Linked DNA regions of Canis lupus familiaris. The main gene of each other region encodes a partner of the protein of the gene in region 2 in a complex. Links are inferred from orthologs where the notes say so. Each region holds a gene or a part of one and is shown on either strand. Other genes may lie near its edges. The genes, in order: MYO7B and CDHR5.

Evidence for each region.
Region 1: CDHR5 (region 2) and MYO7B share a complex: the UniProt entries of both Homo sapiens proteins name them as parts of the IMAC/intermicrovillar adhesion complex. The link is inferred for Canis lupus familiaris from reciprocal best matches to the Homo sapiens genes CDHR5 and MYO7B.

Annotation. Positions count from the first base shown.
Region 1 is NC_049240.1:24,340,353-24,344,151, forward strand, and holds part of MYO7B (unconventional myosin-VIIb), read right to left. Parts: intron 3,270-3,799; coding exon 3,088-3,269; intron 2,211-3,087; coding exon 2,080-2,210; intron 1,874-2,079; coding exon 1,716-1,873; intron 1,514-1,715; coding exon 1,360-1,513; intron 950-1,359; coding exon 794-949; intron 1-793. UniProt on the Homo sapiens protein: Myosins are actin-based motor molecules with ATPase activity. Their highly divergent tails are presumed to bind to membranous compartments, which would be moved relative to actin filaments.
Region 2 is NC_049239.1:26,066,336-26,070,689, forward strand, and holds the start of CDHR5 (cadherin-related family member 5), read right to left. Parts: upstream 2,875-4,354; 5' UTR 2,809-2,874; coding exon 2,754-2,808; intron 2,661-2,753; coding exon 2,485-2,660; intron 2,203-2,484; coding exon 2,152-2,202; intron 996-2,151; coding exon 903-995; intron 791-902; coding exon 689-790; intron 579-688; coding exon 468-578; intron 394-467; coding exon 223-393; intron 1-222. UniProt on the Homo sapiens protein: Intermicrovillar adhesion molecule that forms, via its extracellular domain, calcium-dependent heterophilic complexes with CDHR2 on adjacent microvilli. Thereby, controls the packing of microvilli at the apical membrane of epithelial cells.

The DNA.
Region 1 (3,799 bases), on a different chromosome or scaffold from region 2:
TTATGTGCCAGACACAAACAATAGATAACTCTGCAATCCCAGTAGAGGATGGGGTACAGAGGGGCTGCCCCACTCCAGGCTCAGAGGCCAGCCTGGACTCACTTCCCAGGTGCCCTGCAGCTCCGAGGAGGCTGGGGAGGCCAGGACATACATGGGAGGGGGATCTGGGCAGAGCACCAGTGCCAGGGAGACGTGGGTTCTCATTCTCATACAGCGGGGGCATCTCCGCAGGGCTTCTCTGAGGGCACCCAGTTCCCCCTCCATGACCATGGCCGAAGCACTATCTCCCCTAGCCACAGGAGGCCGAGCTGGACAGGACAGGTGGCGTGGATGAGAATCAAGACAGCCAAGGAAGAACTGCCCCACTATGGGAGGGCTGGCCACATCGATTGGCAGGGAGTGGCCTCCCATCTTGGCCACCCTTGGCTGGGCTGGGTGGGGAGTTGGGTGGCTTGGGGCATTGACATCACACTCTGGCCTCCAGGCAGCTCCTCCTGTGCCCTGAATAGGCAGCTGTTAGGGTAGGAAGAGCCCATGGCTAAGACAGCCTGCCAGCAGCATCCACTGACCATCCAGGCCTGTCAGACCTTCAGAACCTCGCTCCTGGCTTCTGTGCAGGTTGCTGGGGGCCTGGGCCTGTCTCCTTAAGTGGACACCAGCTTCTGGAGAGGACACAGAACCTGGTTTCATGGACAGGTGTCCCCATTGGACCACAAGCCCTGGAAGGGCCAGATGGGCCCCTCAGCATCCATAGGCAGATGCTCCTGAAAGGGCAGGGAGCCGGCAGGCTCACCTCAGGATCCTCTGGATGCGCCGGCTGCAGTCGGGAGCCAATAGCTTCTTCCTCCGCGTGTCTACGAACTTCTGAGCATGAGGCAGCAGCGCCTTTCCCGGGGGGAAGAGGCCAGTGCAGAGCCACAGCAGCTGCCAGCCCCGCTCCTCACTGTACCTGGAGGCGGAAATGCCTATGAGCTCAGAAAGGATCCTCTACAGGCCTGGGCCAGTGGGCAGATGGGGTGTGAGGCCCGCCCAAGGCCGCAGCCAAGGAAGCTGCTGCCCAGCGGCCTGATGCCTCCAAAGGTTTTCACATGCATAAAATGGGGTGGGGGTACCATCGTGCCCGTTTTATGGAGGGGGGCACTGAGCTTTGGAGAGCCCGTGACATGGCCAGGTCACAGAGGAGAAAGGGCGGGAGAAGGCAGGGACCAAGGCAGGTCCGTTTCCCTCCCTGCTCTGACCACCCCCAAGAAGGCGCAGGACGGATGAGGGCCGCAGCCTTCTCAGTGCTGCTGTCAGGGCCGGGCAGGCTGGCGGCCCCCACGAGCTGGTGCCCTCGGGCCCTCCCTGTCCCCAGCAGACCTCGTGGTGTTGTGTGTCAGCTGCTTCAGGATCTGGCAGTAGACCTCATCCCGCAGGGCTGACTCCTGGAGGGCCAACGAGAAGATCTGGTCGGCGAGCTCCACGGAGGTCCAAGCCTGTCGAGATGGGTAGTCACCCATGTACCGGAGGATGCGTGTGGCTGTCAAGGAGGATGTGCCAGCTTGGCCGCCTGCTACCTCTGACCTGGCCCTGGCCCCACACGGCCCGACCAGCCCCGTGCGCGGATGCTGCCTCTGCCCTGCGCTCCCGGGGCCCGTGCCCTTCACAGGGTGGCGCTGGGGCCTGTGCGTGCGGGGTTGACACAGAGCGGGGCCAGGCTGGCCGGGGAAGGATATCAATGAAGATCTGACAGGCAGGGTCCCGGAGCTCGGCATTGGCGTGGACTTGCTTGAGCAGAGGCTGCCGCAGTGGCTCGGATGAGTGGGCCCACAGGTGGCCCTGTGTCCGGCCCAGGGGCAACATGGTCCTCCTGACTGTCTCCTTCTCTGGGGCCCTGTTAGGGATGGTGGCTGGTGTGAGGGCCTTTCTCAAGCCTTCTCTGCCCATGTGTGTACTGTCGAGGGAGAGCCCAGGCCCCGCCCTGCCCTCCTCTTGCTCCGCAGAGGCCAGGTGGACACTGCACCTGCCTCCATGGCTTCCCTGTGAACTTCAGGGAACACCGAGGGGCTGGCAGGGCCTGGTGGGGGCCTGAGTGGGCACCTAAAGAACTCGTAGGAGAATTCCTCCAGGGTGTGTGGCTTCTCCTTGGGCTGCTCCTCAGGCAGTGGCTCTGTGGGCTGCACCTCCTGGGCTGCCAGCTTCCGCTTCTCTGGTGACATGGCCAGCAAACTCTGTAGAGGCACAGGCCTATGGGTTCCACTGCCCACAGGGCTCTTCCTGTGGGCTCCTTCCTGGCCTGGTTGCTCCAGTGCCATGGGAGGGGCTGACCACAGGGTTGTACAGGCCTGGGCCTACCCCTCTCGTGTCACCTTGTGTGTGACCCATGACCACTGTCTCAATGTCTCCAAGCCTGTTCCTGTTCCTTAGGGAGGCTTCTCAGACCCACGAGGCTCCCCTTCCCCAGGGCACCTCTCAGGGGCATCCCGCCCCTGCCTGCCCGGTTCCCTACCTGCCTCAGGCCACAGCACAATGTCACTTCTTCTGGGATGCCCTGCTGACAGGGCAAGCCCCTATCCTATTATTCGCTCCCAGAACAACCAGTGCTTCTTCTTGGTGGTACTTTGTACACTAGCCATCGATTGTTTGCCTAAATGCTCCTTGAGGGTAGAGTCACTGTGGTGTTCAGTGCTGTAGTGCATGGGGCACACGGTTGGCACTCAATATGTGAATACTGGAATGCCTATCTGTCCTGTCTCTGTGGAGCTGGCTTTAGGGGCTGGGGTGAGTGGTTTGTGGGTAGGGAGACCTGGGCCCCCATGGGTCAGGTTTAATCAAGGCTGACAGTGGGGAAAGGGTGGGTTTGTTCCCAGGACACACTGTAGTGGGAGCATCTGTGAAGTGCCAAGCGCTGTGCAGGTCAGTACACAGATACTGTGCCAGGCTCGTGGTCACCCCAGAGGGATGACAGGGGCGGCAGAGCAGACCTAATGCCCAGGTGACCTCCTGGCTCTCTACAAGGTGGGGTATGAGCCCCTGAGCTAGCAACCAAGCCTCATCCTCATGTGCCCACAGGTGCCTGGGCTGAGAATAGATGAGCATATGAGTTACCATCAGCTGTGCCGAGGGCTTGGTGACCGTTGGGATGGTGTAGAGGCAAGCTGTGGGCACCAGCCCCGTCTTGCCTGTCCTGTCGTTCTGGCCCAAGGTCCAGTTCTCAGAGGCCAACAACCCCTGCTTCTTTGTCAGGATCAGCAGGTCCCCCTTCTTGAAGGGCAGGATGGTGGTGTCATCTGCAATTCCAGGTCACACACAGGGGCAGGAAAGCACCACTTACCAAGGGCGCTGCAGAGGCCAGAAACTGTGCTGGCATTTTGTGGTCTGTCTCCTTCAGGAGGTGAGGAAAGCCAGACACGGAGTGGTGGGCCCAAGGCCACTGTGAGGCTGAGTGGTGGTGGCCTTCCTGGCCACACAGCCCGGGCAGGCAGGGGCGGGCAGTCCCCAGCCTCAGGGGACCTGCTCTCTGTGCTGTGAGGCCTCCTGAGCCTGCATCCTCCTCTGTCTCAGGCAGTTGGCAGATGTAATGGGCAACAGGGATGAGGTTTCCCAGCACACATTTCTCTCCATCCCAGTAGGCCACCCGGCTCCCTCCTGAGGTCCTTGCAGTCATTGCACCCCCTAATTCCCAGGGGTGCTCAGCTCTTGCTGCAGTGCTGGCTTGTAGGGAAGGTGGCCAACACCTAGACCAGCTCAGGGCTCAGTCCCCCACCCCTAAGGTCTGTGACCCTGGACCATCTGCTTCCCTGCTCTGAGCTTCCAGTTC
Region 2 (4,354 bases):
AGCGATGGCGGCCCCAGGAGGGACAGGGAGCAGTCACACCGAGGCTGCACTCGGTACACGTGCTCGGTACCATGGGGGCCTAGAGCCCGCGTCTGCCCCGCTGCCCCCGGCGCCTTGGGGTGCCTCTTGTGGCGGGCGGCCCACTTCAGCGGGTCCCCAGGGGTTCTGGCCCGGCCGCAGGGCCCCAAGCCCACACACCCCCCGCCCCCCCACCCCCAGTACCAGTCTGTGGCCTGTGGGGATGGCCCCCTGGTACTCGGCGTTGATGCAGACGTAAAGGTCTGAATAGGCGCAGGGCAGGAACCAGGGGGGCCGGAGGTCGGCGGGCCGCACGTCCAGGACCAGGGTGGCCGTGGCTGTGTGGCTGGGCTGGGCGTTCTCCTCCTGTGTGTCCTGTGGGAGCGCAGCGGGGGTCAGGCCTGCGAGCGGGGGCTGGGGGCAGCGGGGGGGTGTCCCGGCCTGCTCACCCGCACCAGCAGCAGGAGGCTCATGTTCTGCCACTTGTAGAAGTCCAGGGGCCGGTCCAGCCGCAGGGCGGGCAGGTTGGTGCCCAGCAAGGAGAAGAAGCTACCAGCACCCTGGGGAGGTGGGGGGGGCGGGTGCGACTCAGCCTGAGACCCTGGGGAACATGGAGAGGGGCTGCCCGACGGGAGGGTTCAGAGTTGGCGTGGGGGTCGGGGACACTGACCGGGGTCACCTCTTGGAGGGTGTAGAACAAGACGTCATCCTTGTCGGGATCTTGAGCCTCCAGTTCCGTCTCAGGGATGACAGTGGTGTTCACTTTACTGTCCTGGGGATGGAGGGGAGTGGTGTCTACACCCTCGACCCCTGGTCCCCCAGGCCAAGGCCCAGGCCACTAGCCCTGCTCTCCGGCCCCTCGCCCCCCGCCCCCCGGCTCTCACCTCGGGCACGTCCTCCACCCGGAGTTTAAAGGGGAACTTGGGTGGGTTGTCGTTGACGTCCAGCACAAACACAATCACCCTCAGCTGGGTCACCTGCGGGGACACGGCCTGAGCACCCTGCATCACACACGGGCCGCCGCGAGCCCGGGGACGGCAGGTGCCCGGGCAAAGGACTTGGCTACCGGCCGGGCTGGGGCACCGCCAATCCCAGGTGAGAACCACGGCGAAATGAGCAAATCGCTTCAAAAATAATTCCCGAGGAGAAAGGAAGAGAGGAAGGGGAACCCATATGTTGAAAGAGGCTCGGGAGGGGCACCCGGCTGGCTCAGTGGGAGGAGGGGGCGACTCTTGATCTCGGGGTGGGAGTTCAGGCCCACGTTGAGGGGAGAGATTGCTTCAATAAACACACTAGAGAGGAAGGGCCGGAGGGGCAGATGCTAGAGAGAAGTAGCCGGCGGCCTCGCTGGGTGGGCCTTGCTGGCGGCTCCGTGACTGTGGGGAGGGCGGGCATCGGGGGTCACATGATGCCCACGAGTCCCTTTGCAGATAATGACAAAATCGGAAGGACCGGGGACCGTGGGCAAGCCGACAGGTGCGTGGGGGCCGGGCTTGCAGCTCAGGACAGAGTGGTCAGGGGCCCCTTGAGAAGGTGGTCCTGGAGCGAAGGCCGAGGGGCGACAGCGGGAGGCAGGTGCGCGTCTGGGGAGAGGGCTCAAGGGCAGCTGGAGCGGCCTCGGGCTGGGGCACCTGGCGCTGCCCGCTGCCCGGGGCATTCAGCCTTGCCTCTGAGCGGGAGAGCAGCCGGGGCGCCGGGCGGGGATGCGCCGCTGGCTGGGCCCGATGGTCCTGCCACACTGAGACTGGACTGGCTGAGGCCGGGAGGGGAGCAAGCAGCCAGCTCCAAGTTTCCGGAAGGGAGATGCTGGTGGCCAAGGCCCTGGTTGGTCTGGAGTCCAGCTTCAGGCAGAGCTCACGGACTTGCCGATGGAGAGAGGTGTGGGGAGGGGGTGGGGGCGAGGGAACCGGTTGGGCAAGGTGCCTCTGTGCTGGGGGGTCTGCACCTCGGGGCAGTCTGGGCGGGAGGAAGTGGGGGCGCCAGCCCAGGAGCGACACTTGTAAACCGCACAGGGTGAGGTCCCCAGGGCGGGGCCCTGGACCAGTCAGAACAGAGTGCAGAGGTCCAAGCCCAAGAGCTGTGATGTCATAGGGTGGGGGCGGCGACCCAGAGGCAGGGGATGGGGGTACTCACCACGGTGTTGCCACTCTTGCACTCCAGGTGCGCCTCCAGCAGGGTGTTCTCCTGGGGGGCAGACGGGGGCCGGGTGGTCACCAGGGTCCCCAGCGTCCACGCTAAGTCCAGGGGCAGCTCCAGCCCCTAATGGCCCTATGCCCCTTGGGGCCAGGGCATCACCAAGCCTGGAGGCCCCAGAGGGGTCCGTGGATGATGCGGGGGCGGGGCGGCCAGCGAAGCGCAGACGGACCCCGAGCAGACGGACCCCGAGCCTGGGACAGCCCCGGTCCGAGGAGCGCGCCCGCCACTCAGCTGCCCTGTGTGGGGCCCCACCCGGCCCCCCGTCTGCACCTCATAGTCAGGAGTCACGTTGAGAAACAGCTCAGTCCCCTGGATCCGAAAGGCGAAGGGAGTGGACGACGACCCGAGGGTCACCTGCTGGCCCGCGGGGACGTCGATGTGAGCCAGGGGCCCGCTCTGAATCGTGTTCTCCTGGACCTCGAAGATGTTGTTGCTTACGGCGCAGACTGGAGAGCAGGAAGGGAAGGCTCAGTGCCCCCCACCCCCCCGCCCCTGCACCCCCCCCGCCGCCCCAACTGCCCCCGCCGCCCCGCAGCTACCCTGGGCCCGTGCCGTGGCCACCAGCAGCGGCAGCAGCAGGGCCCAAGCCCCCATCTCCGTGGGCCGCGCTGCTCGACCCTGTGCGCAGCTGGCTGCCGGGTGGCGGCTCAGCGGGCGACCTTTGCCCCACCAGGCACCGCCCCACAGTGTGATCCTTTACAGGCCTCGGCCTCCAGCAGGGGGGCTTTCGCCGGCCGCCGCCCAGGCCTGGCCAGCTGCCCGGAGGGGGCGTCCCGTGGTTGCCCACCAGCCCTGGGCCACGTGCGGGGGCCATGGCCACGGGGGCTCCCGGCTCAGGGCTCCATGGGCCTGCGCAGGGCCCGGGTCGTGCTGGGTGGGCGCAGCCGGGGCAGGGGTTGGGGGCCCAGGCCTGGCTCCCGTGTCTGCTGTACCCACCCGTCCCCCTAGCCCCGGCCGCCCCTTCGCTGGGCTCTCCTTCCAGAATCATCTTGGAGCCAAGTCAGACCCCGGGTGTTCCCTCCAAGCCCACCTCCCCTCCCTGCACAGTCTGTGTCCTGGGGTCGCCCCTGCCTGTGCTGGAAACACCCCACTTCCTCCAAGGGCAGGGGTGGGGGCGGCAGTGTTTCTGGAGGCTGCTGGGAGCTCGGGGCGGGGGGAGCCCGGGTCTTCAGGGGTCCCTGGCAGGCTCCTGGGCCCTGGCCCCTGCCGCCCTACCCCAAGGGCCCCCAAGCCCAAGGCAGCAGGGGAGAGGCCCCCCCCACGCAGGGACAGTAGGGGGTGTGGCCCTTCTGCTTCCTCGCCCTTGGCTCCTGGCCTCATCCCTTCCTGTGTCAGCACCGCCTCCGTGGCTCCCCTGGGGTGTCATCCCCCTCTGCACAGGCTCAGACCACACAGCCGGGAGCAGGAGCCAGGCTCACAGCCTCCCCCTGGGGTGCACTCCTGGGCCCCTGGTGGCACCCATGCCCGTCACCTCTTCCTGCCCGGCCTGAGCCTCCTTGCCCCCCAGGTCCTCCCACCGGCTGGCACTGTGACAAGGGGCCTCCAGGGCAGGTGTCCTGTGCCCCCCCAGAGCCCCTGAATGTTTGCTGAGTAGCTGGCAGGGATCCGGATGGGTCTCTGGGGAGCTCAGGTGACAGGACAGGAGACAGAAGGGAGGTGAGGCGCCCCACAGGCTCCCAGGTGTAAAGGGCACTGGGTGTGGCCACAGTCCTGGAGCCTGTGGTCGCCTGGTGCCGCCAGCCCCGCCCTGGGGGACGGCGCAGAGGGAGCTCAGAGGGCCACCGTCTGAATTCCTCTTTATTGGTGACAGTTACAACCCGTCCCCTGCCCCCTCCCGTCCAGGCCCCAGTCGGCTCCGGGCGGCGGCCGTGGCGGCTGCCGCGGCAGGTCCCTTCTTCCTCAAGGCCTCCTCCGTGTCACCTGGGCAGCAGGGATGGCCGGCTCCGAAAACGAGGCCCCAGACCCGGTTCCGGGAGGCGGCTGGGGAGCCCAGGCCTGATCCAGGGGGTCCCTCAGGGGCACCCTGTGGACACAGCGGGTGAGGCGGGAGCGAGAAGCTGGCCTCCGGGTCACCAGCGCCCCTCACCTCCGCGCCCCCCGGGCCCAGGGCCGGTGCTCACCAGGCGCGCAGGGCGGGCGA